7 separate regions of the Mus musculus genome follow, and all the other regions are reported to be linked to region 6. Evidence: microRNA targets listed by miRTarBase, many of them from high-throughput screens and not tested one by one. Region 6 holds a microRNA gene; each other region holds the end of a gene's coding sequence.

Region 1 (4,194 bases), not on the chromosome of region 6:
TGGTGATTATGGCGGAGAGAAGCTATGTCATTCTGGAGGAAGGACCTCCCACAGAGCTCTGAAGATGGGGCACAAGTTGGCACAGTGCTGAGGGTGGAAAGAGCCTCCAGGGGACAGAGTCACCTGAGCCATGGGGAGAGAATATCACAGAGGATAGCCATGCATATGGCTGAAGGGATAGATACACAAGGCAAGAGGCCAGTGCATCTCGACTGACACTCGGTAGTCAGGATTTATTCTGATTTCGGACAGCTGGTGGCCGTGCAAGTGTTTCTGAGCAGGCTGGTGCTGTAACCATATTCTAAATCGGCCCCCATGGTGGTGGCGGTTTGGATCAGTGGAGGTGGGGGGGATGGGATGGAGGCCAGGAAGCCAGCGGGATCCCGGGCTGTCACTATCCACTGCCATGACCATTCTGCACGGCTGTGTCCTTTCCTCAGGAGCAAGGTCGCACCCTGAGGAAGACCATGCTGGAGTTGGAGAAGCAAGGCCTGGAGGCCATGGACGAGATTCTGAGCAGCCCCGAGCCCCCGGACCCCGCCGAGGTGGGGGACCTATTCTATGACTGTGTGGACACCGAGATGAAGTTCTTTAAGTGATGTAAGCACCCTCACCCTTACTCAAAACTTCCCACCCGACTAAATTACCAGCAGATAAACACTCTTCTGTGTGAGTAAACCGAGAGTTACCATGTGGCCTCCTTGTGTCTAAATGTTCCCTCTGTTCAGCTTAGCAACCCTCCCCCCTTTGCTATGTAACGCGATCCCATTTGCCTCTTGCTCCATTGTGTGATAAGCTATGGGCTTGAAGATGTTCTTATATTTCAGTGACAATGGACACCTTAGCTTCTTATGAGGAACTTGAGTTCCCTCCGCCTTGGACAGGGCTGCAGGGCCACGCTGGTGGGAAAGACAAGAGCTGTGAAGGGCCTGGTCCCTCTCTAGATAGTGGTTTCTTTAGGGTTAACAAAAGGCTTTTGTTCATACCAAAGGCTTTTGTGTGTGGATGGGGGAGAGCCCCCCAGCTTCCTGCCACAGAGCACAGGCCTGTATGTAGCTCATAGTCCCCACAATGTCCTGGGAAGGAACAGAGGACTGGTACAGTCCCAGCTCTGCTCTGGTGTATGCGATTTTTGAAAGACCTGTCTTCTGTGAGCTGTGCTCATGTGCAGTGGAGCAGACCTGCTTCCGCCTGGAGGAGAGCTGGGCATCCATGTTAGCCACAGTTCCTCATCCACAGTGCTCCCACCTGAGGACCTGGCCCTGTGTGGAAATTGATTGGGATTTGATTGTCAGCAACTTGTATGAGATTCATTAAATGGCCCTGGCATACAGCCACACACAGCTGCAAATCTCAGCCAAAGAGGGAAAGGAAAGGGTCGCTCTTGACTGCTGAGAGCATAGCTAATGTACCTGGAATCTGAGCAGCCCTGGTCTCAGCAGAGCCTGAAATTAAACTCATTTGTTTCCAGCATCCGTGTGTTTGCACAAAGGATTTGACGCCACAGGAGTGTGTGAGGAAGACAGGGCGGGCTGAGGGCAGAAGGCAGTGAGACATTTATCCACAGAACAGTCTCCCTCGTCCCACCCACTGCCTCGTTAACTAGATCCCACATCAGTGTGCTGAGTACCTGACCTCCAGGATCTCCTCCACTTTGTTCTCACACCCCACTGCCCAACAGATTCCTTTGGATGCTGTCTGGAACAGGAAAGAGGTATAGGTGCCTATCCACTGCCACTCTGCACGACTGAAGGGCCAGGCGTAAAGATGACTGACAGAAGTGTAGACTAGAGGAGAGGCTAGAGAGCATGTGCTGCGGGGCCTAATTATAGGTCCTCACTCTTGACAGGGCTGAGCAAACAGAAACTGTCCACCAGTGATCTCAAGCATGGCTTAGGGCTGGCAGGGACCTGAGCCCTCATTTCACAATGTGATTCAGGCTACAGGTTTTTTTGGGGGGACAAATCTTGTTTCTCTTCCAACCCGAGAGAGAGAGAGAGAGAGAGAGAGAGAGAGAGAGAGAGAGAGAGAGAGAGAATGTCTACTGTGAGCTCTTTCCTTGATTGGTTTGTGGGTTCCATGTATAAACAAATGGCAAAACACAAGAGATGGGACAAACTCATGACAAACTGGTATCTCTTGCTGATGGACAGAGGGACACAGGTAGAGCAGCTAAGCTGAAAGTGCCCAGCAGGTGCAAAGGGGAAAAAGAACAAGGTTTGAGGAGGAAGTAGTTGCCTGTCCCAGCCTCATCTGCTGAGCTCTTTAAGGAAGGTGGTGCAGAAAGCCGTGCTGTGCTTTCCCTGTGTGGTCTGCCCTCCACCTCTGAGGCCAGCTCATCAGATCTGACCTGCCTGAGACAACCCAGGTAATTTGGGGTTTGATCAGAGGTCTAATGGTAGCAAACGACACAGCGACCTTCTTCATTACTTTGGCCAAGGTTGAAGATGGCTGTGACGCTATTATGCAGGTGTGCACTAGAAAACCCAGTGGTTGTTTTTATTATTGACTGTAGTCCAGCATCACGGAGAAAGGCCAATCCTCTTAGGAGCATTGGACAGCTCAACCATGTTGTCATCTTACCACCAGAGGGCACAGCAGCCCTCTAAGGGTTTTCTCCTCCGGCAATGGATAAGGAGCCCAGCTATGAAAGCTTTGCTTACTGGGATGGATGGGGGCAGACAAGAGGACAGTAGGGAATCTGCCGAGGTGCCCGCACGTACTTTAGTGAGTTTAGCCAAACTAACAGCAGAAATAATACTGGATTTTGAGTAAGCAGACTTAGGAGAATATTTGTTTTAAAATTCATGTAACAGATTTCCCTTTGAAGAAACACTTCTGACATGGGTAATTTCTCAATCAGGGGTCACTTTTATGAACAGCATGCAGAAAAATAGATCTTCGGGAATGTTTAAGATCGATCAGTAAATAACTTCCCAGAAGACCACCCTATGTCTATTAAGCCTGAGGGCAGGGGATCCTGAGCACACTTTGGGCAGAAATAAGTCACGATCATGAAGGATGGACTGCCTGTCTCACCTGTCCCACAGAACCTAACCTAAGCTAGCTAGTGTTGTGGAGATGAGATTTGCAGTAAATGAAAATGGCAGCCTAGCTGGGGGCAGACACCCGAGTGTCTACGTAAGGTAGTAAAGTGGAAATAGTCTTTGCTCATTCTTGGGATGCCTGAACGCTAGCTAAGCATCTGATAAACGCTGTGGAGACTTAGCCCAACACAAGCTCCAGTGTCTGTAGGAGTCGGCCTCACAAGCTGATGAAGCAGCTGTACGCCTAGTAGAGCTCGGTGGTGACGCTCCCTTACTCTTAGATGAATCAGTAGCTGTGAAAATAACTGTCACCACAAAATTACTGTCATCGAACATTGACGCAGGTGATGCTACTCTGGAAGGACCTCAGGGCAGCCAGGTGTGCGTGTCTTGAAATTACTGACTTGAGTTCTTGTATCACAACTAATTTCAGCTGAGAGTTCAGCCTTGGGAGAAAGCACACCATGGTGGGAGAGGTGTGGCAGGCATTGCTCGAGCATCCTGGCTCTCCCATGCCTCCCGCAGCCGCGGCATTTCATTCTACATGGCGCTGAGCCCCAACTCCTGTCCTGTGGTGTGTGTCACACGTGTTTTTACTGACTGAAGCCAACCATCCTGAACTGTCATGCAGAGAATTCTTGCAGGAATCAATAAGGACGTGTCTCTAATCACGTGTGCGAACTGAAATGTCATAGCTGAAGCAGTATAACAGAAAACCTTTGTTTCCTGTGGGGGGAGGACTGAACATGTGGTCTTAACAGCCTTTTGTACAGATATCTACAAATCAAACGATGTCTCTATCCAGTGCTTGCCCTCGGAGTGTCTTTAAATGCACCAAGTGTACAATAAAAACATGGAAGTCAATACCTAGGAGCCTCTTGTTTGTGTCTCATGGACACAGTCGGCACCAGTCACAGCACACACGTATGAGGGACTGGGATTTTCCGGTTGGAATCTTTAGAAAACTCAACCACCTCTTGAGGGCCCTACACTATGCATCTCTACAAAGACAAATTCGCTGTTTAAAAATGAAGCCCAGCTGGGTGTGGTGGGGTACCCTTCTAATCCCAGTACTTGGGAGGCAGAGAAGCAGACGGATCTCTGAGTTCGAGGACAGCCTGGTCTACAATGAGAAACCCTGTCTCCA
Region 2 (4,216 bases), not on the chromosome of region 6:
AGTTAGAATAGTAGACAGGCATTAGAGTATGTTCTAATGAATCTAAACTCCATGAAGGAAGGGGCTTCACCTAGCTTGTTCAAGGCTTAGTCAAAACACAGTAGGTATTTAGTAAACTAAAGGATCTGTTTAGCCCAGATAAAATTTTGGGTAATCGTATTCATTTTAACATTTTATGTTAGGATATAGAATGAACAGAATTTTCTTAGCAATTTTTTTGTTTTTTGTTGTTTATTGTTTGTTTGTTTGTTTTCGAGACAGGGTTTCTCTGTGTAGCCCTGGCTGTCCTGGAACTCACTCTGTAGACCAGGCTGGCCTTGAACTCAGAAATCCACCTGCCCCTACCTCCCGAGTGCTGGAATCAAAGGCGTGCGCCACCACGCCCTGCTCTTAACAATTGGTAGTATAGCAACATAGCTATCAACAGTATTTGCCACTAGTATCTTTGTGATTTCCGTGTTTTCTTTTGTTTTAGCTTTATGAGTAAATTATAATTTCATTGTTACCTTTGGTATTATATTTTCATTTTCCTTGACAGTTATTGCAGATATGGCCAGGGTTTATAATTGGGATGTAAAACGAAGAAACAAAGATGATTCTACCAAGAATAAAGCATAACACTGGCAATTGAAAATGTGATTCAGGTTTTCAAACATGTTAAATAAGCCAAGGTTTAAAGATTGATCTAATTTTCACTGATTTTTTTTTTCACAGCAAGATTAAAATTTAAAAACACCATTTTATTTATTTATGAAAACAAAATTACTTTCAAATATTTTATGAAATTACCAGTATTTTTTTCATATTTCCCTAAAATGTAATGCTGCTTTTGTTTTATTTTATCTGTTATAAGACAACTCCTAACTGAAATGGCCGAGAACTGTGAGGAATGCTATGGAAGCTGCTGAATACTGGGCACCAGAGCAGTTTTCTTTTTCTTTATTGGTTGATATTACTCTCACTGGATATGGTAAACCTTTTAGAGGCAGGAAAGACATACAGTTCCAATATTTGTAAGCTTGTTCTCCTTTAGTACTTGAAGGGCATTATCATCTTTTGTTGCTGTTTTGTTCTGTAAATGGGGTTTCATGTATTTCTGCCTAACAAGTAGCTTTTATAATACTCTGAACTTTTCAGAAAATTGTTATTTGCTTTCCTACACAGTATGAGGGCTATTGACATCCATAACACTTTGATCCCAAGTAAGTATAGTGTGTCTACAATGACAATATAAGGGAGACTTGATCAATGCTAGAGAGTACTACCCATTCAAAACTGTAAGCTAAGGTAATTTTTATATTATGTAACAGTTTTCCAAAGCACCTCGAACAGGAAGAGTAACATAAATATAAATCTGCATTATTTGAAAAGAGTTGTAAGCTTTTTTATTCATGATAAAATTTACATAGGACAGATATAATCTCTGGAAAGCCATTGGTACTGACTGTGGTAAAAGTACTTGGTGATACAGATTCTGGTAAAAACACATGCATGTTATTCCATCTCTGTGTAGTAAAAAGTATACTTGTACAATGTTTTGTACTTGTATTTCATGTTATTAAAATAGTGATGTTCAACCTGTTGCCTGACAATTTTTTCATTTTAATCTTTGTCTTAATCTATATATGTTTCTGGCAAATACCATAAAATAGGTAAAACAATTATTTATATTGCATTGGTCTGGAGACTTTTAAGTCCAATTGAAATACAAGGGCAGAACCTTCATGATTTACTCATCCCCCCCCCCCCGTCCCCGTCCCCATATCGTAATACTTTGGGGGTATTAGACAGGAGAAAGAAAATCCCAGATAATATCTTTTTGTTTTGTTTTGTTTTGTTTGTTTTCGAGACAGGGTTTCTCTGTATCTCCCTGGCTGTCCTGGAACTCACTCTGTAGACCAGGCTGGCCTCCAACTCAGAAATCTGCCTGCCTCTGCCTCCCGAGTGCTGGGATTAAAGGCGTGCACCACCATGCCCAGCTCTCAGATAATATCTTAACATGAGTCTCCACAGTTTTTATGAGATGCATTTATTGTACATAACTAGTATATTTTTTATTTATTCTCTTTTGTGCTCTTTTTTTTTTTTTTTTTTTGGCTTTTTCGAGACAGGGTTTCTCTGTGTAGCCCTGGCTGACCTGGCACTCGCTTTGTAGACCGGGCTGGCCTCGAACTCAGAAATCTGCCTGCCTCTGCCTCCCAAGTGCTGGGATTAAAGGTGTGCGCCACCACGCCCGGCTTTTTTTTTTTTTTAAAGTTTTTTTTTATTACATATTTTCCTCAATTACATTTCCAATGCTATCCCAAAAGTCCCCCATACCCTCCCCCCCACTTCCCTACCCACTCATTCCCATTTTTTTTGGCCCTGGCGTTCCCCTGTACTGGGGCATATACAGTTTGCGTGTCCAATGGGCCTCTCTTTCCAGTGATGGCCGACTAAAAATTCTACCAGAGAACTCCTAAACCTGATAAACAGCTTTGGTGAAGTAGCTGGATATAAAATTAACTCAAACAAGTCAATGGCCTTTCTCTACACAAAGAATAAACAGGCTGAAAAAGAAATTAGGGAAATAACACCCTTCTCAATAGTCACAAATAATATAAAATAACTAGTATATTTTAAGAGCTTTATATTTTGTAGAAAGAACAGAAAACCTTTGGAAGGAATAAGCAAGTAAGATTTTAATCTAAAATATACCAAACTTTCTTTTTTATTATTTATTATTTTGGACAATACATTTTCCCTTTCATTAACTCCTCTCAAACTTTCTTTTAGTTTTTCTTTTATAAATTTTCTTTAGTTTTCCTTTTAAAAATTTTTAAAATTTTAGAATTTGTAGTTTGTAAATACTATATTTCCCACACTGTAGTAATTATATTGGTACAAGATGTCCCTGTTAATATAGGAATGGTATTCTTCTTTTGTCTTAAATATAAAAATTTAAATATGAATTTGCAAGCCGGGTGTGGTGGCGCACACCTTTAATCCCAGCGCTTGGGAGGCAGAGGCAAGCGGATTTCTGAGTTCGAGGCTAGCCTCGTCTACAAAGTGAGTTCCTGGACAGCCAGGGCTATACAGAGAAACCCTGCCTCAAAAAACAAAACCAACCAACCAAACAAACAAAAACAACAAAACAGACAATAAGAATTTGCAGATGATGTCATTTTTTTCATGATATACAGTTTTAGAATAATATAACCATCTAGGTATATAACATGGTGTCATCAGACACAATATACACAAAATATACTGAGTGAGAATATATGGGCTGAAGTTTGTTAAACTTGATGTACAGTAACTTCAGTTTAACGTTTTCCTTTATAAAATCTTTACATGTGAGGAACACTGAAAAATAATGGGGTGGAGATGTTTAAATTCTACTTGAAGTCCTTAACCAACCAACCTTCTTCCTTTCACCTTTCCTTTCCTATCTCTCTTTTTTGATTAGGGCATTACTCTATCCCTAGCTGGACTGAAACTCACTGTGATCCTGAGTTGGCCTTAGACTCATGATCTTCCTGCCTCAGGCTCCCAAAAGCTAAGATTGGATGTTTGTGCTACCATCTCTACCTACTTCCCTGTTAATCACTATCCCTATGCTCAGCTTCTATTTCTTGTTTTATGCATAAATTTATAGAAAAAATAGTATATTTATAATGTATTCATTCTTAACATGAAACTGGCTCATAAAATGCGTTTTTCCTTTGAGACAGACTCTGAATGTCCCAAGTTTGCAGGTCCCGCTGCTCCTACCTACCAAGAGTTAAGATTATAAGCATGAATCACCAGGCCATGATTCATGCTTATTTTATGATTATTTTATTATTACTCTCATAATACTCTTAATATTATTTTCTAGTTTTAAAATAAACTATAAGTGAACCACAGTTAGCTCATTGTTTTATTAGGTATTTGGGTTGCATCTAAACTATGCCTTTCTGTTTTCATATAAGACTTTTTCCTGTATTTAGAATTTTTTCTGAAACTAGATTGCCAAAAAATGAAATTATAGAGTCAAAAGTTCTAGCATTTTACTTTCAAGTTAACAGAGCTGTTTTGTTAATAGAGCTTGATACAGCTGCTTTGAGAAATAAGTGAAGCATTGTTAACTAAGACCCACAGTAGCTTGAAAAACTGTTTTCCTTCTCTAAAAGCTCAGGATCATGGGTAATTTGTTCATCTTTAAAGCAGAGACAAGTCAAACTGGTATTTTCTT
Region 3 (4,207 bases), not on the chromosome of region 6:
TGAATACAGAGAGAATTTAGCATCCTATTGGGCTTCATTCTGGATTGCGTAACAGAGCAAAGTCCCTCAGTGTCACTCTGCTGTGTGTGGTTTGTCCAGGACTCTCTGGCACTGGGGAAGACGGAGGAAGAGGCGCTAAAGCACTTCCGGGTGAAGTTCAACGAAGCTCTCCGAGAAAGCTGGAAAACCAAAGTCAACTGGCTGGCGCACAATGTGTCCAAGGATAACCGACAGTAGGAGGCGCCCCCTGGTGGTCATACGGCGGTTCCCTCCTGGCTTTCAGCCCTAGAGGTAAAAGGACAGTCCTGGAGACCAGGCATGTCCAGTGGTCACCAAAGGGACCCCAGAGCCTGAACTGTCCCTCATGGGGAAGAACCACACCACTGCTTCTTGTTTACACTGGTAATTTATTTATGACTCGAAATGTTTAAGGAACAGAATAGCCATAAATGGAAGTGCATTTCTGTGCAGGGGAGGGGTGATGTCCTCATGATGTCATCCCCGGTCAGCACTGTAACAGCACCTTGAGGATCGAACCCCTAGTCTTCCAACCTGTGGGTCTTGGCCCAGCAAGGACAGTTCTTGGGGCCTTCTTCCCAGGCTCCCAGCAGGCTGCCTGGAACAAGCCTGGCGGTCACCTGGTGCCTCCATCCTCAGCTCACCTCCGGCCACCGTTGTGTGGCCTACCCAACCAAGCCTCCGGCAGCTCTTGAGGAAGCCAGGAGCTTCCCTCTAGACTCAGGCACACTTGCTCGGCACTGCTGAAGCGACCTCTTGGGTTTGGGTACGGGAACGCCCTCACCTCTCATTTGCGGGTAAGAACACGATATGTAGACTCTGTCCCTTACCCCGATGGCTGGGGTAAGGGACCTGGCCTCCACTACAGTTAGTGTATTCCAGGCCTTGAAGCACTCAGACCGGTGCCCCATTTAGCTCCGTGTGGTCACGAATCAAGACGAAGGGCCAGCCAGAATTGAAGTCCTCTTCGAAGTTCGTGTGAGGGGCACACAAGGCAGCTTTATGGACGGACAGGACTGATCTCTTCCAGAGCTGAAATCGCAGAAGGCAGCTGGGGAGCTAGGCTCGAAAAGTGTGAGCAAGGACGAGAACGGAATTCAGTGTAGTCTGGGCAGTCAGAGGAACTCGAGAAACGCAGTCTCGGCCTCCTCCCAGGGATCCAAACGCCAGCCACCCGCCCGGCTTTTAGAGAGCCCAGCTCAGGGGTCGCACATGCTTATCGTCCCACCCCAAGCACATCTCCATGTATCAGCTGCCACCTCAGGACCTGGATCTCCCGGTAGCATTCTGAGACTTTGAGAACCATCACCGCTGTCTCGCCAGCAGCCCAGAACATGGCTCAAGGAGCCCCTTCATGTTGATGAGCCCAGGGTCCAGCAGTGAGCGGTGGTGCCTCCGCAGCACCCGCTGAACCCCTAGTCTGCCCCACCAACTCTGAAATAGGAAACGTGTCTGTGTGTGTGTATGTATGTATGCCATGTTATTTATTGAAAAGAGTCTAGGTGCTCTCTGGTGTGGCTGCAGATTCTGCACAGGCTCGGCCTTTCTGGGTTGGGTGTGTACTTGGCTGGAAGACGGGTTTTTTGTTAAGTTTTTTCCTCTCATTGATGGGGGCTGAGACCAGTTTGTGCAACCTTGACACAACAGGTAAAGACAGGTGAAAAGAAATAAAAACGTTTTTATGTTCTTAAGTTCTTGGCTCAAATAACAAGGGGACTTGGGGGGATACAGTGTACTGGTTGAGCCCTTGTCTGCGAAGTGCAAAGCTTCAGGTACATTCCTTAGTACCATAAAAATTAATAATCCTTGCCCGGCATGGTGGACATCTGTAATCCCAGCACTGAGCAGGCAGAGGCAGGAGGATTGCTTTAAGTTTGAGCCCAGCCTATCTTCATAAATCCCTCAACCCCTGCCCCAACCCGTACCCAACAAACATGACAGAATGGACCCCACTCAGGCTGGAGTTAGAACCAGAACTTTATTATAACGCATACACTTTCTGACCTAGTGTCGATATACACATCTTAAAGGGGACCCTGCGGCTACTGACACGACAGTGTCCCTCTCTTCGTTAGCCTGTTTCCATCTAAGAAAGCAGCTACAGGGGACAGGACATGGGAGGGCGGCCACAGACAGCACGGCGGCATCCTTCGAACTAGCAGCAACAGCAGCGAGGACTGGATGTCCCAGCTGGAGCAGTCTAAACTCTTGACTGTGAATGAAGAGCTGTGCTGTGTGGGTGGTACCTGCTGTCTCCTATCTGCTGGGTCTTAGATCTTAGCCCAAACCCAACAGCACGCGGCATCCCATGGGGCCTCTGGGGAGGAGAGAAAAGATTGTTCTGGAGCATTGTAGCAGTTTATCTTTGGGCCTCGGGGTCTCCTTTTGGTGCTGTTGTGCAGACTTGCTCAGAACCGTGGTCTTCCAAGCGAGGAGCCTGACCGCCTGCACCTTTGCTGTCCGTTCCCAGCTACACCATTTCACCAACAGGGAGGCTCACGTTAATAAGCAGAAACCATGTGGCTGCCAGTCACAGGCGTGTACAGGAAAGGCCAGGGGCTTTGGCAACATCCTGGCTGTTCCCAGCCTCTAATGTGGTTGGAGGCTCGTGGGGCTGGCCCCCCCAGACAGCACTTGAAAGCCATGGCCCCGGCCACGTGGCTGTACGGAAACCCTAGCAAGGGTGGGCCCCAGTGACTTGGGCCTCTCCAACCTGGTTTCTTGGGAGGGAAGAGGGAGGAAGAGGCCCTCCTGGCCCCGCATTCTGACTTTACATTCCTGTCCTGGACTACTAGCACAGAGGACACACAGAATCCCAATTTATTTACAAAATATTAAAAAGTCGGTTGGCCATCTACATATTAACCCCCTCTGCTCTCCCACTTTATACATGCACTAGTTTGGGAAAAAAAAATAAAAAAACTTTTAAAAATAAGAGAAATGGTTACTGACTGCGTGGGAGTAATTTTTCACCCTCTGTCGACAAGTCCGCTCAGTGCGGCTTCTCTGGAGGTCCCAGGTGCTGGTGTCCTCTCCCTGGCCGACAGGGAACTCCAGACACACTTGGGGTCTGAGGTGCTGTGGGGCCCCTGCCCTGGGGAGGAAGCGCCAGCTTCTAGCAAAACTGCAATGGTGATGGGCGGGGAGGGTGGAGCCGGTGGTCCCACACACCAAGCACGGGAGGACTTTGAGCAGTGGGGGAAGGGTCTGCAGACCTGCTGGTCAAAATGATTTTGTACATCGTGGACCCGTGGGGCTGGGAGAGAGTCTGGAGAGCAGGCGCTGAGTGCGGGTTTAGTAGCTGAGTGTGGAGTCATCCCATTCCAGCTGTCGGGTGGCATTCTGGCCGTCTCCGGGGCCTCCTTCCTCCTCCTCACTGCTCTCAGACTCGGCACTGGTGATGTCTTCCTCTTCCTCCCCATCTTCGCTCTCCTCCTCCTCCTCCTCCTCTTCCTCCTCCTCACTGCTGTGCTGGTCCTCATATGTCTGGCAAAGAGACGACGGCGTAAATCTAGCCTGTAGCCCCATCGCCCAGTGTCTATCTACTAAAAGCCACAAAGGAAAACACAGCCAACCCCACAGTGACAGAAGGGCCTGAGTGGTACTGGGAGTCGCCTCGCCAAAGTGACCCGGCAGGTGACGCTCTCATTAGCAACATGGATACCACTCACATGGGATGGGGTGCTCAATGCAGAGGGGCGGAGCTTAGTCCTGTCATACCACGGACATCTTGGGGTAAAGAAGCCAAGAGCGTCAGTTGCCTGCCTATGCTACTCACGGAGGCCTTCAGCAAGGGCTTCCTCATCTGAAGGTGACCCCCCTAATCTAATCTCACTGACCCAACCTGCAAGCACATGACCAGGGTCTGGGTCTCCGTGGCGCTTTGTGGTTGGCCCTTCTGTGCCTACCTCCATGGGGTTGACGGTGATGGTCAAGGCAGAGTCATCCCAGTCCATCTCATTCTCCTTCCCCGTGTCCTGGTCCCGCATCGTTCGCTGATGTGCAGCCCGGATCCGAAACACCCCCAGGATGATCATGAAAACCAGGAAGCTGACACACACCACAATCACCACTGTCGCCGTGCTGGGGACAACTGCCATGGGGTTTGAAGACCAGACACACAGCTTTTGTGACGCTGCTTACACCCAAAGAGCTCCCCCCATCCCATCCCTCCTTGGCCTCCTCAACT
Region 4 (4,182 bases), not on the chromosome of region 6:
TTACTAATACACTGAGACTTTCTGAATCAGTAAAATATTATCTTTAAATTAGCTGGGAATAATGGCTATAATAAAAATTTTAAGGAAATGGTCTTCGTTCTCCCACAGCCCACTGCTTGTTTGTGTCAACAAAAAAGGATCTATCAAGTGTTTCTTAACCCAAGAATCACAGGGAGAATGACAAGGACAGAAAAACTACTGCATTAATTTCATTTACATTTTAATACTACATGAACAACTGCATTTTCTGAGACATCTACCATGTGGCTAAGGCTGGCTTTGATCTTGTAACCCACAGGAGGTTACAGGTATGCATTTTTTGTGCCAACCTTTCATTATGCCTTCAGTTGCTTGTCGAATCTTGAGGTCTAATTAAGTTAAAGGCCTAAAGGCTCAGAAAGGAAATAATTTTACTTCCTCCCATTGAAGCATAAAAGATGAACTAACTTTTGTACTTTTGGCTGGCTGGCTGAGGCAGACAAAGGATTTCTCTCTTGTGTACTAGACTGTGAACATGAATCATACTTAACTAAATGTTCCTCCTCCTTTTGTGTGTCGTGCAACTGTTTTCTGAACACCTGTAAGTCAGGGTTCTTAGTGAATGTATACGACTCTCCTATCTCTTTTCTCATTTGTTAAATGTACATAAAAGTAGAACAATATGTCTAACCCTTTTTAAGGCTACTTATTATTTTAATTTTTTTAATAGTTAAACATTGTTTTTTCGTTAAAAAACAATCCTGTCAATAGTAATGAATCAAAATGCGTGTGGAATATCATCCCAGAGTTTTCAATGTGTATTTTTACCTTCTCTCTCAGGTCTACTGAGGTAAAGACTTCATAGAATTTAAAGAAAATAAAGTTTCCTCTCCACTCTCCTTTCATCCAATTTATCATAAGTAGTTTTTGATAGAAAGGCAACAATAAAACATTTATGCCCGTGGTTGATGACATTTCGACAAAACCAATGATTGTTCATTGGTAAACTTTGACCTTGTTCATTATCTGGGTAAAAAGCTTCTCTAACATGTCCAGGGTAGCCCTACACAGAGTGTTATACACTTTTTATTACTATTCTATAGCATTATGGTCTTTGCTCAAAGCACAGTGAGATTCTATCTTCTAGGGCAGTGGTTCTCAACTTTCCTAATGCTGTGACCCTTTAATATAGTTGATGTTGTATTGACCCCCAGCCATGAAGTTGTATTGACTCCCAGCCATGAAATTATTTTATTGTTACTTCATAACTGTAAGTTTGCTACTTTCATGAATCAAAATGTAAATATATGTTTTTTCCATGGCACTGGGCAACCCCCACGAAAGGGTCCTTTGACAACTAACGAGGGGTCAGGCACAACCCACAAGTTGAGAACCGCTGTTGTAGGTGGTCAGAGTGGGTTTCCTTTATAACAGTGTAAAGATGGAAACCGGGGCGTGTTTTCCCAGATCTCTCCTATAATGGCAACAGTTAACAGACCTAACAACATTATAGATTTGCTGAAATCTGGCTGAGAAATGATTTAGTAAGATAATGGCAAACATTCAAGCAATAGAACATACAAGGAAGTTATTTTTGTGTAATAAGAAATGTCATCTCCATTAACAATCAGAATAATTTAAAATATAAGCATTACATAGACTGTATAACATAAAATGTAATAGAATAGACAACTTTATTTTAAATAATGTTCTTAACTCAGTCCATTAAAAAATATCAGAAATTAAATCTATAGAGACAAAATCAGCTGTATAATTTATAAACATGTTTTTTTATGAAGGAAAAATAGAAACTGTTTGGACAAATGAAATAAATGCAAGTAAGATTAACACAGCTTTACATTTTCCTACTTTAGTTTTGTAATTAAACTGAGTTTATGTGATCATCTCTTGTGTTTACTTTAATTGTAGAGTATGAAGCAAATATGGATCACTTTTGTATTTTTTGAAACATGTTATTAAACAAAAGTTGAATAGGTTGGGTACTAATTTGGAAGCTGAATACGAAAATAAAGTAGTTTTGGAGTCATAGAATTTATTACTTTTCTTCCTTTGGTTATATGAAAATATACAATAAAAATTACCCATGTGAAATCATTTATATTCTTTTATGTGTATGGGTGTTTTGCCTGCATGTGCGCCTATACATCTTGTGTATGCTTAGTGCCCGGAGTGGCCAGAAAGCATTGGCTTTCCTGGGACTGGAGATACAAAGCATCCATGTGATGCTGCAAATCATCACCATCAACAACAACAACAACAGCAACAACAACAACAACAACAACAGCAACAACAACAACAGCAGCACCCACTGAGCCACCTCTACAGCCCCTTAATGTTTTCTATAAATCTCTATCATCAACTTTAATAAAATTTTTAATTAATAATTAAGGACTTCTATGCAGTATTATTAACACTTTGCCATTTCAGAAAAGAGGTAGTGTTATTTATATATTTAAACATTTTAAAATATAAAAATTCCATTGACATTATATAAAATAGCATTCCTTAAACATCTGGGTTTTAATTTTATTACATTCAGAAAAACTAAAATTTTGACAATAGGATGTTGCTTATAACTTGCTTTAAATTATTGTTCCAAGGAACTGTTTTAGTATGTCTTACCTAATAATCATAGAAAACAAAAATTCAACTTTTAAACACGTCTACTTTTAGAATATAATTTCTGCACAGTTTAAACACCCACAGATTCTGTGTTCATTAGAACAGCCTAGCTACCTGTCATACAATTTCCAACAAAGAACTAAGGGTAAAAACAGCCACGGAAATCAAACAACTAAACCTTAGAACTCTAAACTGGGCTAATGACAGAAGCATCTCTGTGCCTTTAGCCCCTCAGACAGACACATGGTTTGCACTGTTCTGCGGCGTGCCTCACGCTTTCCCTCACGGTACCCTGTGGCTTGCTTTATTCGAACACAGCAATGCTTGCTTCTTCAGTGTTCTCACTTGTTAAATCACTTCTGAGGCCTCTGGAGATGTTCATGCAGGAGGCCTTCCTTCTAGCTGTTAAAAGCAAGAGCCAGAACTTAGGAATACAAAATATATTTGAAAATTTCTACTTCTAAAGCATTCACTATAAATTTAAAAGTAAAGCTGATTCCTTTTTTTTTATTTCAGACATATAAACATTTTTCCTTGTAAAAAATATACCATATAAATTAAATAACAAACAAGTCCTTTCCTAGAGATAAAAAGTATTCTATTTTATTTTTCATTTTAACATCTGGAAGAACATTAAAGCATATAATATGTTCTAGATTCAGAACTCTTTGAAGAAATTTTATTACATAAAAAATTACACATCGGATTATATGAAAAGAAAACGTTTCACGGAGAACTCAGCAGTAAAGCTTCCCATAAAGTCTGCATCTATTACCACACCACTACTTTATTTGACTTGTGTGGGGCGGGTTGGAGGGGGAGTAGGTGTGCTGAGTGACTCATTTTGTGATCACTCACCTACTTTGGGGAAAATACTATGTAACAAAAGTCAGTTAGGGGCATTACTCCTCTGTGACAGATGATTTCCTGGACTTGAGAACAAGGTCCTTAATGGATAATGACAGTTCCTGAAGCTCTTTCCGAGTAGCGTTTGTGACATCATGTTGTTCCTTGTCTAATTCATCGCTTGACGGATCCTCTCCCTGCCCAGTCTTCTTATTTTGACTGACTAACTGTTTCACAACCAAACCTTGATATTTTACCAAGAGAGTATGTTGATCCTGTGGAAAGAAAGAAGAAACTGTACCAAGCACATCTCATTTTCTGTGAACATGGAGAATAGAATTTGTTTGAACAGCACAAACAGAATAGCCTTATCTTCACGGAACAATGGCATGTTAATGGAAAGCTGAACCTGGCAAGCAAGGTCTGTGTTCTCAGAGTGCAGATCAGGAGACATAAGACCTGTGCAGACCATGTCACAGGAATCTGATTTAGCCAGGTTCTACGACCTAAGACACAAAATAATAAGGACTAAAGAAGCCAAGGTGCTTTTAGCTAGGGGTTGGATTCCTTAGCTAAACTGGACAAGACTTTTGAAGGGTCCTTGGGGGCTAAATCAAAACTAGGGAAACTGAGACAGAAGTTCAGAGATTCTTATATCTTTCCTGAAAACTTAACCTTTAAAACCACAGGACTTTTCACCATGCATCTTACAGT
Region 5 (4,216 bases), not on the chromosome of region 6:
ACTGCTATTCCATGCCTACTGAAATAGAGTAAGCCAAAAAAAAAAAAAAAAAAAAAAAAAACCCGATATTGTTGGAAAGCTGTAGCATTTCAAGCCCTAGGCATAAAAGCAGTGGTTATCAACCTTCCTGATGGTGTGACCCTTTAACACAGCTTCTCATGTTGTGGTGAACCTCAACCATAAAAGTTTTTGTTGCTACTTCATAGCTGTAACTTTGCTTCTGTTATGAATTGTAACAAATACCCGTGTTTTGTAGTGGTTGTAGGCAACCCTTGTGAAAGGGTCGTTTGACCCCCAGGTTGAGAACCACTGCGTGAGAGTCCATGAGCACTGCATGAGAGTCCATGAGAGCTGGGGTTATTTATGTTTTCTCCTACATCCTGTTAAGAGATATTAAGAAGCTGAAGGGCAAGAGGCCTACGATGGCAGAAAGAGTAGCAGCAGAGCTAAGAGAAGAGCCCAGATTTCTGAACTTCTGCTATGCCATACTGCCCCATGAATAAAAACAGAGTTGTTGGACCACTGTGGTCAAGAAGGGTTGATCTGACCTTCAAAGCTATGTGACTGGTCAGAGAATATGGTTTCTACTCCATCTGCTCCACCCACTTGCCATGTCCACCAAAGGCTGCAGGCTTCATTTTTCTAAAGGAGCAGGAAACCAACCAGTACAGAAGGAAAGAATGAGGTTTATCAGGGCAAGCAATTTGGGGGCTTATCTTTCTCCTCTGTCTTCCAGGGGTTTTTGGTTGTTGGTTGGTTGGTTTAGTTTGAGTTTTGAGATAAGGACTTGCATAGCACAGACTGACCTCAAGCACGCTATGTAGCTTAGGGTGGTCTTGAACTTCTAATCTTCCTGCCTCTACCTCCCAATTGCTGGAATTATAGGCATGAACCACCATGCCTAGCAAGTCTCCAATTTCTTTCAATGAAAAAGGTAAAAACAAAAAAAACTGTGGCCTGGCAAGATGGCTTAGCAGCTAAGAACACTTGAGGCACACAACCTTGGGTGGCCTGACCTTGACCTCTAGAACTGTTAGTGGGGAGAGAAACCCAGCCTGGTTGAATTCAAGGAAATCCTTTGGAAGGTAGCCCAGGAATCCTCAAGGGGAAAGGAAAATAGGGCGGAGGTTGACAGTTCAGGTTTGAGGTGAAGAGAAAACAGCAAAGAAAGTACTTGGTGCAGAAGACTGTCTAGTCTCTGTGAGGGAAGGGAGGCATGTTGATTCCTGTCTTTCCAAAATTTGTAAAATTGAGTGTGATGGAAAGAACCCTCAGCTCAAAGCTGGGGCCAGTGTTACTTCTTGCCTGCTGCTTGCCTGCCTGCTTGCTTGTTTGCTTGCTTGCTTGTTTGCTTGCTTGCTTAGATTTGGGTTTCTGAGGCTGACCTGGAACTACCAATCCTGCTTCTGCCTGGGGGTCCTGGGCATATATCATGTATCATATACCATATACCATGTACTGTATACCAAGTACCATATACCATGTATAATATACCATGTACCATATACCATATACCGTACACCATGTACTGTATACCATGTACCATATACCATGTACCGTATACCTGGCTTTTGTCCCTTTACAATGTGACTTCAGATGAGTCACTCAGTTAACTTTCATTTCCTTGCTAGTAAACGGAGGTGCAATTCTTTTTATGTTGGGGTGGGGTGGGAGGCAGTGCACAGGCCACAGTGCACACATGGAGGACTGAGGACAGCTTGCAGAAGTCAATTCTCTCTCTCCCATGTGAGCCCCAGGGATCAATATCAGGTTGTCAGTCAGACTTGGTGACAGGTGCCTTTACCAGCCGAGCCATCTCACCCACCCCAGAGGTACAAATCTAGTCTCTCAGTCCTAGGCAAGGTGGTCTATAACTGATGCCAGTTTATAATAAAATGGGGCTGGCAGGTGGCCCATGGTCGTGACCAGCAGACGCTGTAATCTGATCTCTCCCAATCCCCGCCTAGGAGGGACCCATAGTCTAGGCCCTTCTCCGACAATGTGCTGCTCTATACCATGACCTGTTTGCTTGCTGTTTATTTTCATTTCACAATCACAGCCTCTATGCACGGGCACATGGGCTCAGGAATTCCCAAAAGACATGATTCCACACCCACATGTGACTGGAATAATTCAAATATCAAAATAGTTGCTGTTTGTCCTGTTGCAACCTAGAAACGGTGGAGCTCACCTACATGCCCCTATGTGATAACGTGCGATAACATGTGATAACGTGTGATAACATGAGATAACGTGCGATAACGTGTGAATACATGTGATAACGTGCGATTACATACCCTGTGTTGTTGAGAGGGCACGAGCACATACACACAGAATTCATAGTGCACATCTACACAAATACATCTCCCTTGGTAAGGTTCTTCACTTGCAAAACACAAGCAACAAACCTCATCTTTGGCAGTCAGGCACAGTGATATCTGCAATCCCAGAATTTGGGAGACATGCAGGAGCCTCCCGAGTTGGAGACCTACTTGGACAATTAGTGAGACTCCATTTCCAAAACATAAATAACCAAAATCTAAAAAAGCTCTCATCTTTGTAGGTTTATTCAGAACTTTTGCAGCAACTGAGGCAATGCTGGCATTTAGTGTGCAAAGGAGATCTATGGCAGCAGTGGCCTTAAGGTTTGGGAGTGGCGCATGCCCTGGAGTTAGAGTGTATGTATCTCAACTCTGGGGACAGCCCATGCTATAATCAGATTTTTTTTTTTAAGTTAACATAAAAGCTGGGCATGGTGTGCATGTCTTTAATGCTGGTACTCTGGAACCTGAGGCAGAAGAATCTCTACGTTTCCAGGTCAGGCAGGGCTTTATAGAGAGACCCTATTAAAAAATAAAAAGGAGAAAGGAAGCCGGGGAAGAGTAGCTATGACTGAGTCTGGGGTGGTGAGATAGCTCAGCAGGTGGAGTTCATCTTCCCGAGCCTGGAGATCTGCGCTTCATCCCTGGAACCCACATTAAAGCCAGAGGGAGAGAACTGACCCCACAGATCCATCCTCTGACCTCTGCAGACACCCCAGAGCACGCCATGTATGCCCCAAATGGCTCAGCAGATGAAGATGCCTGCCAGCAAGTCTGATGATCAGAGTTCAACCCCTCAGACCCATATGTTGTCTGTCCTCTGACCTCCACATACATGCACCCCCACTCCAAACACACACACACACACACACACACACACACACACACACACACACACACACACTCAGGAGGGATGTGTTCAGAGACTACAGTTCTGTCCTCTGTAGGAGGTCACGGTCATTTCTTCTCAATACTGGGTGAGAAGGCTGAGAAGTTAGGCTCAGTTCTGGGCCTTCCCAAGTGATAGTCCCAATACCCTGATGTGAGGGCTCACTTGGCCTCCTTCTACTAAGCTAAACCGCCATTTATCTCCTCCCTCAGAACACCCTTTATGGAGTATAACCCACTAGCACGGCCACCATTACCTTCAGAAGAGTCAAAGACCTACAGAACCTGCCCTGTCATTTCCTGGTATTTCCGCGTCACCTCCTGTGCTTTCCGGGTCAGGTGGGTAAGGATGTGATGGAGGCTGCAGAAGTGCAGGTGGAACTGGGCTTCTAGGTCCAGCTCCTCCGAGATCCTGTCTTCTTCGGCCTCCTCCGTTTCAGCAGCGTCGTTCTCAGCCTCGCTGGTTTCGTTGCCAGCCACCTTGGCCTGCCATTCCTCCCTTGGCAGCAGCCCGTGGTCCACTTCTACACAGATGCTCTTGAGCATGGTGAAGTAGGTATAGAGATCAGGGGCTCCGTCCTGGACCGAGCCCCCAGGCCCACTCAGCTGCACATCCCTCAGAAGGCTGGGGATCATCACCACCTGCTCCATGTTCCGCACCACCGCGGAGTACCGATCCATGACTGTCAGCAGGCAGTTCTTGGGATAGCGTTTCGTTAGCACTTGCATGGTTGCTTCCTTCCTCAGAGTCCGGCAGACTGCCCCAGCGCTATTTCTAGGCTTTTGAGCAGACAGCAAATTGACAGGATGCCAAAGCCCAACCATTGGAGCAACACAGCCCTGTTTTGAGCCAATCCCAGCGTTTGGTCCCCAGTGTCTGTATCAGGTGATCCATCTACCCAGGGACAAACCTGCCAGGCTTCTGCTTGTCATGACTGCTTCAGCAGGAGGCCAACTCTTCCTTCAGCAGCTCGCCCAGCCAGCTAGAGGAAAGCTGTGTCCCCTTG
Region 6 (4,216 bases):
TATGCAAAGCATTTTTAAAAAAGAAGCCCCACTGTTTAGATCGTGCAGTTCGAACTTACAGAACAAATATGCTGCCCTATCGCCACGGTACACAGATAGAAAACATGACTGAGCTGTAAAGCCATTAAAAACATAACACCAAAGCAAATTGTCATTGTAACCATCGACTCACTGCGTAAAAACAGAGCTGATTCCCAGCCCCAGAAAGCGAGGCCCTGCTTTAAGCAATAGTAAAGTGCCTTCCATCTGCCTGCCTATGCAATCTGCCAGAAGAGAAATGCAGGCAAAGAAGTTCCCCAGACCTGAAATGCTTTTATCTATCCTTAGAGAGAGATTTTCTCCATTCTTTGGATATTAGAGCGATCTACACTAGCGCCAAGGAGGTAAAAGGCCGCGGGTTGCTTTTCAAGGAGCAGTCCGTAGTGCTAGTGGATGAAATGTTGATTGAGAATATAGGGACTGCTGCAAAGCTGCTGCTGCCGTCGCCGCCACCGCTGCCGCCGTCGCCGCCGCCGTCGCCTGTGCTACTCCTGGCAGCAGGCGTGGGGCAGTTGGGTGACCACTGATGCATATCAATAACCATGTACTTGAGATTTCTCATGACATCATCATTACCTTGGTCTCCCGCAGTCTCAAACCTTTGACCTTGCCGGGCTGGTCCACAATTTGGCGGTGAAAGCCCCTCCAATGATGGCCCTTTTCTCCTTCTTTCAGACCGGGGCAGCAGTACGCCAGCAAGAGGGCATGCTCTGCCCGCCTAGAAGTCCTAAGAAATCGAGGATCTCCCTTAAAACATTCACATACAAGATATGTGCAATCAAGCTGCCTGCACTTGGTAAAAAAGATCATGATGCCTAACCCAATGATCCGGAGCAGATCTTTGAATCAGCTGTCACTTCTATAGAATGGGATTTCCCCCTTCTTCCTCTTTAACCAGCGTTGGAAACTGCCGATGGCTTTATACATCTCAGTAGAGGAAGGCTAAAGAATCTTCCGTGAGAATGAAGCAATTTACAATGCAAATAGAGGCCTGTGAAGAGAAGGACACTGCTGCTCACCCCCAACAGCTTGCTGCACCTTAGTCTCTGGTCTTAATTTCTGATACTCATAGATGAATTGTTGGCTAACGATACTGGAGATTACTTGCTGGAAGGGGAAAAGTTTGGAATAAACTCTGAATGCAACAGATCTCATTTGGATGTTCTAGCCGCACACACTAAGACAGAAACCAGGTCATGTTTACATGAAAGGAGAAGCTTAAACGCGGCAAGTACCCCGGAGGACTACGCTTCCCTAAAGCCAAAGAGGATCGAGATCTGGAGTTCAGCCAGAGGAAGGCAGCCTTGTGAGGGAAGCGAGTTGTTATCTTTGGTTATCTAGCTGTATGAGTGTATTGGTCTTCATAAAGCTAGATAACCGAAAGTAAAAACTCCTTCAAGGTCACCGAGGAACGTTCCGGAAAGAAAGACTGCAACCAAGAGACAGTAAAAACCAGAAAGGTCAGGAATGCTTATTGAATCTAACTTTTTTTATCTTATGATTGAAAGTGGGATGCAAGAAAATTAAGTGACACGCATATTGAAATCTAAAGGGGCCAGGCTTTGAGGGGCTTGTACAACTGGAGAGGAGAATTGTGTAGTGTTTTTTACGGGTGACGATGCATGTATTTTCTATATTGTTCATTTTGAAGCAAACGTTTACATATGAGGTTTTTTTTTTCTTTTTTTTTCTTAGAAAGCTGTTATAGTGATGTCTGGTACCTCGCTTAAAAATGATTTCATAATTATGTAGATTTGGGCTGTTCCTATCTGAGGCCCCTCCCCCAAGTTTGAAGCTTGTGCCTGGAAACTTTCTATGTATTTGGGTGTGTACATCAAATTCTGTGAAGTTAGACTTTCAGTAAAGCTTATACTGGAAGGTTAATAATTTATATCTACCGAAGACTTAGAGCTAGCAGGGAAAAGGGGTGGGGGCAAAGGCTGATTTTTATTCTTCTATTCAAAATACAAGGACAGATGCTTCTCTGTTCCAAGAGGGTTTCCTTGAGGAAGCTACTGAAGCAGAAAGACATGATGGAGACGAGATCGCCTCCCCTCTTGTCAAAGTGTTAAAAAAATGTTCTGTCTTACTCTGCGCCTAGCATTGGAAATGAAAGTGACATTTACGCCACAACCCACGTGTGCGCCTCCTCTCTTTTTGTTTAAGGATGATCAGGTCTATCCAGGAAACAGCTCTGGCATCCCAAACTGAAATAATTAGGACGTATATAGACCTGACAAAAATGGAAAGGGGGTGGGGAATCTGAGGGTCTGTCTTGCCTAATTGATTCCGCTAAACGGAAAGCAGGAGATGTGAACGGCAGGACGCTCCGATTCCCACGCTCGGGGGCAAGTGGTAAAGCCTGGCCGGCAGCCTATGACAGACAGCCCTGTTGGGGGGTAGGGGTATGAAAAAAACATCAAGCACACACACACCATACTCATCTCCATCGCTTAAGAAAGTAAAGGCATTTCCCACCCACAGCCATCTGCAGCCTCCCAAATGGCAACACCAACTGGTTGGTAGCTGCTATGTACTGTCTCTGTTCATTTTTAAACCTCTGTTTAATCTGGCCATGATTAAATTTGGATTTCTCCTTTGGTTGAAATTTTCACCATTTAAGGAAAACAAGTGGAAAGGGTGCCAAGAGTGCCCCAGAACTGCATGCCCTTCTCAGAGAAGTCCTCAGTATGTGGTTAGGGCCTTGTGACCACCTTTGGCTTTTGTTTTGGCTGTGTTATATTTTAAAGTCATGTCTCATAGCATTCATTATTATGACTTACTTCATCGGGTTGTTTACTTCCTTGTGTGACACACAGGAACTTGGCCTACTTATGCTAATCTACATTCTGGAAATAAAGCTATAAAGTCATCAGTCTGTAGAAAGTTGATTACAATCACAATATGTTAGAGAACTTGTTTTGTTTTAGAATTGTCCTAGCGGATGAGCTTTTTTTTTCCCTTTTCCCCCTCCTCTTCCTTTTCTTCCTCCTCTTCCCTCTTCATCTAAAAGTCACTAGTCCCAGCATAAACTTTGAGGCTTTGGAGAAACCACTGTAGTCCTTTTTTGAAGTTCCTTGCATCCTGTTACATTTTATCAGGCAAACATTTGTATAGGCATTTGCACATAAATACAAGCATTGCAATGAGAAAAAAAATTCCAAAATTGCTTCTTTTCTTTCATATGGCCTAAATTACTGACACTCCCAAATGCATAAGTTTTCTTCAGGGACAGTACATTTTTCTTTATAGCTTCAACTTCTTGTAAGATTGACACCAGAGAAACCTGTAAAGCCACTGGTAGTTTCATTTAGAAAAGCCAAGAGACTTTAATAACACAACTTCTCAGTTTGGCCGCTGTACACGTGCCAAAGTTTGACTGCTGTAGAGGCAGTCGAGAAGACCCTTGCTTATTTACCTTGGAAGCACTGTTTGTGCAAACAAGCTTTCATTGTTAAGTGCCTGTATTCCTTTCATTTGCTTCATGTCCAGGGGTGCTATTTACCTAGAACCATTGTCTACTACAATTAACATTTACATTACAAAGTGTGTGCTTTTCTTTCTCAAGGAGGTTCAATTAAGGCAATAAGATGTTTGCTGGGGAAACCTATTGTTTACTCAAAGCTCTCAATGGAGTCACATTACTGAAGTTTTTGCCTACATCTTGGGTCGTTTATGTAAATATGTTAACTATAACATCTAAGGAAAATAAACAATATTAAAATTATGTGTTTGCCATTGTCATATCCAACTTGCTTTGTATCATACTAATGTTACATAACTTATCGATCAATAAAAATACATTTCAATGTTATTTTCATTTTACTTTTTGCTGTCCCACTGCTCCTGCTGCAACATGTCCCAGATTTTCTTTTTTTCTATTACACATCAAACTTCTGACATTTTGTTTTATTTGTGTGTGTTGAAGGAGGTACCATATCTAAGCATGAGTCTAATGGTGTCCAAGATAATCTCTACAGTGACCTTATCATAAGGTGATATTTCTTTAAAATTTGAAATATTCCGAAGGCACGCACATTGAAGTCAAAAGCAGTGTAACTATCAGTTAAGTAGTTCTTTGAAAGCTAGTTTTAACATTGGCAGAAACCGGATCAAGTTTATTTAGCATACCACTGCATTGTAAACCAGTTGGAGTGAAGTTGCAGGTTGCGTGAGT
Region 7 (4,184 bases), not on the chromosome of region 6:
ACCTGGTTCCATTTCTCCTGTGAGCCAGGAAGGGTAGAAGGAAGCTCACAGGGGAAAACAGAAGAACTGAATATGACAGGGAGGCCAAGTTCTTTTCTTCTAAGTGGAACCTTTCCAAATGCATGGGGCTGACCATTCCTGAAATTCAAGAGAAAAAGACTTATTGAGAACTTCAAGAGAGCCAGGCCGTAGTGGTGCACACCTTTAGTCCCAGCACTGGGAAGGCAGGTGGATTTCTTTGAGTTCAAGGCCAGCCTGTTCTTATAGACTGAGTTCCAGGACAGCCAGAGAAACTGTGTCTTGAAATAGCTCACCCTGCCAAAAAGGAAAAGAAGCTAGAGAATTCCTAGAGGGCCAGCATGTTCTACCTCAGATCTACATCTGTTTCTCCCCCTTTCTCATTTCTTCCATGCTATGGTCTTGGTCTTTTTCATATTTCCGAGATGCTAAACAATGTCCCCGGGTAGCAATCACTAGTTCAGCACTCTTTCCAAATGTCAGTTTTTACTATGGTCACAGCTTTTATCAGCACTGTTCTGAGCCTTTGGTTGCAGCTATCCCTCTTAGGAGCAAGAGATGAAATTAATGCTGTTGTCATTTTGGTTGCTTCTTCTGGAACCCAGGCTTTGTGCATGTTCTGAAAGAGCCCTGTTGGAGAGCTACACCCTCAGACCCTGGCAACACACCTATATTCTTGGTCTATAAAACAGGGCAATTTTTTGAGTGGTGCCCTATTTCAATCATGCAAAAGAACTTGAGTTTGGAGTGTTAGAATCTAATAAAAACCTTGGTGCCAAGACTGGCAAAAATTGGCTAGCAATCTTGGCAGAATTTCTCAGCCAGCCATCTGCCTAGGAATGACCTTGTTATCAAGGCCAGTACCAAAAGCCACCCCGGATGCAAGGCAGCAATGGGGCTCTCTGGGAAACAAGGCCAGTTATTTCACACGAGGGCCCTCAAACTCCACGGTAAAGAAGTTGCCTTGACTTCTTCCTCCCCACACACTTGGACTTCCGATGCGCTTTGTTTCTTGGGAATTTGGGGTGAGGAAGGCTAAGGAATGCACAGCAGGCACAGACCTGTGTTCCTAAGTACAGAGGGAGATGGAGGAGGGTAGGTGGGGCTAGGAAGAGGTCTGCCAACACAAATGTCCTATGGGGACTTGGCAGTTTTGCCAGGAGGTTGGCAGGGATGTGCTCTTGTCTAGAGAAGGTGCCCGGTCCTCCTGCTTGGGGCTGAGGAATCCAGAGTCATGGGAAAGGGCAGGGAAGGTCTAGGATTTGAAGGAACCAGGCCGATGCCCAGGGACTGCTGGAATTTCCCAAGACAGAGGAGGCCAGGGTTGAGAACCTGAAGGGCCCTCACAGGAAAAGGAGTAGGTGGAGGTGAGTTTACCCTCCATCCACTTAGTTCCTGGTGACCATGCTGGGTGGAAGGGACACTCTGGGGTCTGGGGTCAAAGGTGAGTGGGGAGCCAAGGCTTGGGAATTCAGCCCACCAAATCCACTGTACCATCTGCCCAAAGGTTGTGGGCATCTGATCAGTTTACAGAAGACTTAGGGCACATTAGGGTGGCAGGAAGCACTTGTACAATACTCCATTCTAGCGACACTCCACCCTATTGGCCGTCATCTTCCCTGTCCGAGCATCACACGGGCCCTGAGGTCTAACCCCTACTTAGGCTTCTGTTTCATGTTCTCACCTGTTCCAAGGCCCCAGCTGGACGGGACAACTGTCTGTGTGCTTCCAGAGAGCCACACGCTGGCCCTTCTTGTGTAACATACCATTGTGCTGTCATTTTTGGCTCAACATCTCCATCTCTCCAACCATCTGCAATCCTGGAACAGGAGCTGTCCTTGCTCTGTCATGGCCAGGTCAAAGGCTCTCACTGAGGAGACAGATGCTCACATACCCGCAAGGATCACTCCAGCAGTGCGTAGACCTTAGGCTCCAGGGTCAAGAGAACCTCCTACTGTGTACCTCCCACTCACTGGGAACATACTTTGCCACCCTCCTCCTACCCATTCTGCCCCGTCTCCCAGGAAGCTGCCAAGAATGGCCATTCCAACTGGCAAAGGGATGAGCTCTGCTTCCTGGATTCTTGGCTGGACAACTAGCCCTTGTTTTTAAGTTGCTGGGGACATGCAAGGAGGGAGAAGTTGAGTCACCCTTAGCCTTGTAACTGTTTCCTAAAGCCTGTGTTGTCTACCTCTTATCTCCTATGAGCACATCTGGCCTGGAGCAGATTTCTCGAATATTGGGTAGAGATAAGGGATTGGATTGGCCACCACCTCTGGCCACGTGGCCTCTGGCTCCAATTCATCAACACAAAGCTATAGTTGACCAGCCCGAAGCAGAACAAACACTGGCCCAGGTCTGTTTAACACGTGCATGGTCAGTTCCCAGAACCACCACACATGGGTAAGGACTCAGGCTGAAAAACACCTTGACCCCCTTTTAGGCAGGAACGGGTACTCCGCAGCCCTACCCCAAGCCCAGGAGAAACAACAGGCTACAGTTTCTTTATTTTTCCTTTTAATTTTTCTGAAGGATACACACCACATATCCCATGGGCAATAGAGCGCATTCAATGTGTTTATAAGCCAAACAGGTTACTTTGTTTAAGCAAACACAAGTACAAAGTAAAATAAAACCACAAAATAATGAACTTCATGTTCATAACATACAAAAACTGCAGCCTACTCAGTAGGTAACCACAACACTCCAACTCCTGAATAGATGTATAAATTTACATTTTCAGTTTAGAAAAATAGACTTTTGAGAGTTCAGATTTTTGTTTAAATTTTTTCTTCTTACATTCTGGAGACCGAAAGCTCAGCTCAGCCCTCTTCCTCGTTTTTGCTCTCAAAGCCTCCCCCAAAACATCACTCCTACCCCCTTAAGGCTAAGGTGAGCGTGTCCCTCACATCTGCGCATGTCAAGCCATCGGCAAGGCGTGTCACACAAAAGGCACCAAGACGTGAAACTTTTGAAACCAAAGGGACGGGCAAAAAAATTCTCAAAAACAAAACCCAACCAAACAAACCATACTTTGTCACATGTGAGAGTTACAGTCGAGCAGTATTTACAAAATTAACGGAACAACACTCTGACACATGCTCCAGTTAATACCTAGGACTGCTGCTTGAAAAAAAAAATGCTTCAAACCTAATGTCACAGCAGAGTCATCACAAAATAGAGGATCATCATTGGTTTGCTTGGCTTTGCTCCCCCCTCCCCCAAAGTGAGGATTTAACTCCAAATAATACAATAGAGTATGCAAATTATCTTCACATCAAGAATACCCCAAGGAAAACAAAATCCATGGCACAGATGCTGTACAAAGATGCAGGGCAGGGTTCTGAGGGCCCAAACCCATTTTTTTTTCTTTATGCCAACTTGATGGTCTAGCGCTGAAGGGAGCAAGGGCCAGGCATGTGATGGAGAGGATACTGAAATGATTTATCCAATACCATGCAAATCAAGTCCTTTGGATAGAGGTGAAGAACTTGGACATGGCTGTTTCAGGCAGCTGAAGTCAAAGGGAACAGGACGGGGGAGGCAGGGATGGTAAGTGAAAGGGCTGTTGGCCAACGGTCCTTCTACTCGTGAGTAGAAGGACTTGGCTCTGAGATCTTCCATCTGACCTAAGAGGTGGCCCCTCTTGCGGCCATCTCTTCCCTCCTGTGCTTTTATGTCTTTCCTGCCTCTCCCTTTGCTTTCTTTTATTCCCTTTAGCAAATTTCAATTGTCCTGGGAGAAAAGGTCGCTGTCATGTCTGAAAGACCAGTTGAGGTGCTGAAGGAGCTGCTGACGCCCGCAGACGGGAAGCTGCTGACCTGGGTGGGGAAAGCAGGTGGAACGGAGGCAAAGGTGGTGGCCACTGACGGCGACGGGAAGCCACTGTGCGCAGGAGATGGGTAGGTGGAGGAGCCAGGAGAGGAGTAGGAAGTGGGCACAGGGGATGGGAATGAGGTGGTGGCAGGGGATGGGTAGGAGGTAGCCACTGGGGATGGGTAAGAAGAGAGTGAAGAGGCAGCCGGGGAGGCCACCACACTTTTGTCTGCTTTCTTGTCCTTCTGTCTTAAATGGATTTTGGTATGCCTCTTGCGTTCATCACTCCTGGCAAACTTCCTCCCACAAATGTCACAGGCAAAAGGCTTCTCGCCTGTGTGGGTGCGGAT

What was found. The annotated mature microRNA mmu-miR-9-5p reads UCUUUGGUUAUCUAGCUGUAUGA and lies in region 6 at 1,366-1,388, shown strand. An mRNA with a match to its seed (bases 2 to 7 or 8) in the 3' UTR can be bound and repressed. Matches are read on the target gene's strand: a 7mer-m8 pairs with bases 2 to 8, a 7mer-A1 pairs with bases 2 to 7 and ends in A, and an 8mer does both.
Region 1: the mRNA of Scrn1 is a reported target of mmu-miR-9-5p. The part of its 3' UTR that is shown has no 7-base or 8-base seed match.
Region 2: the mRNA of Vbp1 is a reported target of mmu-miR-9-5p. The part of its 3' UTR that is shown has no 7-base or 8-base seed match.
Region 3: the mRNA of Clstn1 is a reported target of mmu-miR-9-5p. Seed matches in the 3' UTR shown: 7mer-A1 at 2,381-2,387.
Region 4: the mRNA of Ufl1 is a reported target of mmu-miR-9-5p. Seed matches in the 3' UTR shown: 7mer-m8 at 2,048-2,054.
Region 5: miRTarBase lists Thrsp as a target of mmu-miR-9-5p. The part of its 3' UTR that is shown has no 7-base or 8-base seed match.
Region 7: the mRNA of Egr1 is a reported target of mmu-miR-9-5p. The part of its 3' UTR that is shown has no 7-base or 8-base seed match.

The regions. Positions count from the first base shown.
Region 1 is chr6:54,505,609-54,509,802 of GRCm38, reverse strand. It overlaps Scrn1 (secernin 1), which reads left to right. Exons shown (of 8, transcript NM_027268.2): 8 at 441-987. The coding sequence ends at 599. Among named protein-coding and RNA genes, the nearest start is that of Gm52863, 4.7 kb to the left of the region's middle.
Region 2 is chrX:75,533,361-75,537,576 of GRCm38, forward strand. Vbp1 (von Hippel-Lindau binding protein 1) reads left to right here. Exons shown (of 6, transcript NM_011692.2): 6 at 548-1,586. The coding sequence ends at 618. Among named protein-coding and RNA genes, the nearest start is that of Gm15384, 16 kb to the right of the region's middle.
Region 3 is chr4:149,646,670-149,650,876 of GRCm38, reverse strand. It overlaps Clstn1 (calsyntenin 1), which reads right to left. Exons shown (of 19, transcript NM_023051.5): 18 at 3,927-4,111; 19 at 1,978-3,504. The coding sequence ends at 3,313. Pik3cd (phosphatidylinositol-4,5-bisphosphate 3-kinase catalytic subunit delta) reads left to right here. Exons shown (of 22, transcript NM_001164052.1): 22 at 100-1,709. The coding sequence ends at 237. Among named protein-coding and RNA genes, the nearest start is that of Mir7023, 6.8 kb to the left of the region's middle.
Region 4 is chr4:25,246,946-25,251,127 of GRCm38, forward strand. It overlaps Ufl1 (UFM1 specific ligase 1), which reads right to left. Exons shown (of 20, transcript NM_001355512.1): 19 at 3,481-3,743; 20 at 204-3,024. The coding sequence ends at 3,525. All of the region lies in intron 1 of LOC115489977 (a long non-coding RNA gene), which reads left to right. Among named protein-coding and RNA genes, the nearest start is that of Fhl5, 6.2 kb to the left of the region's middle.
Region 5 is chr7:97,413,566-97,417,781 of GRCm38, forward strand. It overlaps Thrsp (thyroid hormone responsive), which reads right to left and starts at 3,985. Exons shown (of 2, transcript NM_009381.3): 1 at 3,467-3,985. The coding sequence starts at 3,938. The coding sequence ends at 3,486.
Region 6 is chr13:83,737,456-83,741,671 of GRCm38, forward strand. Mir9-2 (microRNA 9-2) reads left to right here and starts at 1,359; the gene lies at 1,359-1,430. C130071C03Rik (RIKEN cDNA C130071C03 gene) reads left to right here. Exons shown (of 4, transcript NR_152245.1): 4 at 715-3,853. Gm51268 (predicted gene, 51268) reads right to left here and starts at 1,421; the gene lies at 1,366-1,421.
Region 7 is chr18:34,863,319-34,867,502 of GRCm38, reverse strand. Egr1 (early growth response 1) reads right to left here. Exons shown (of 2, transcript NM_007913.5): 2 at 2,547-4,184. The coding sequence ends at 3,735. Among named protein-coding and RNA genes, the nearest start is that of Egr1, 4.2 kb to the right of the region's middle.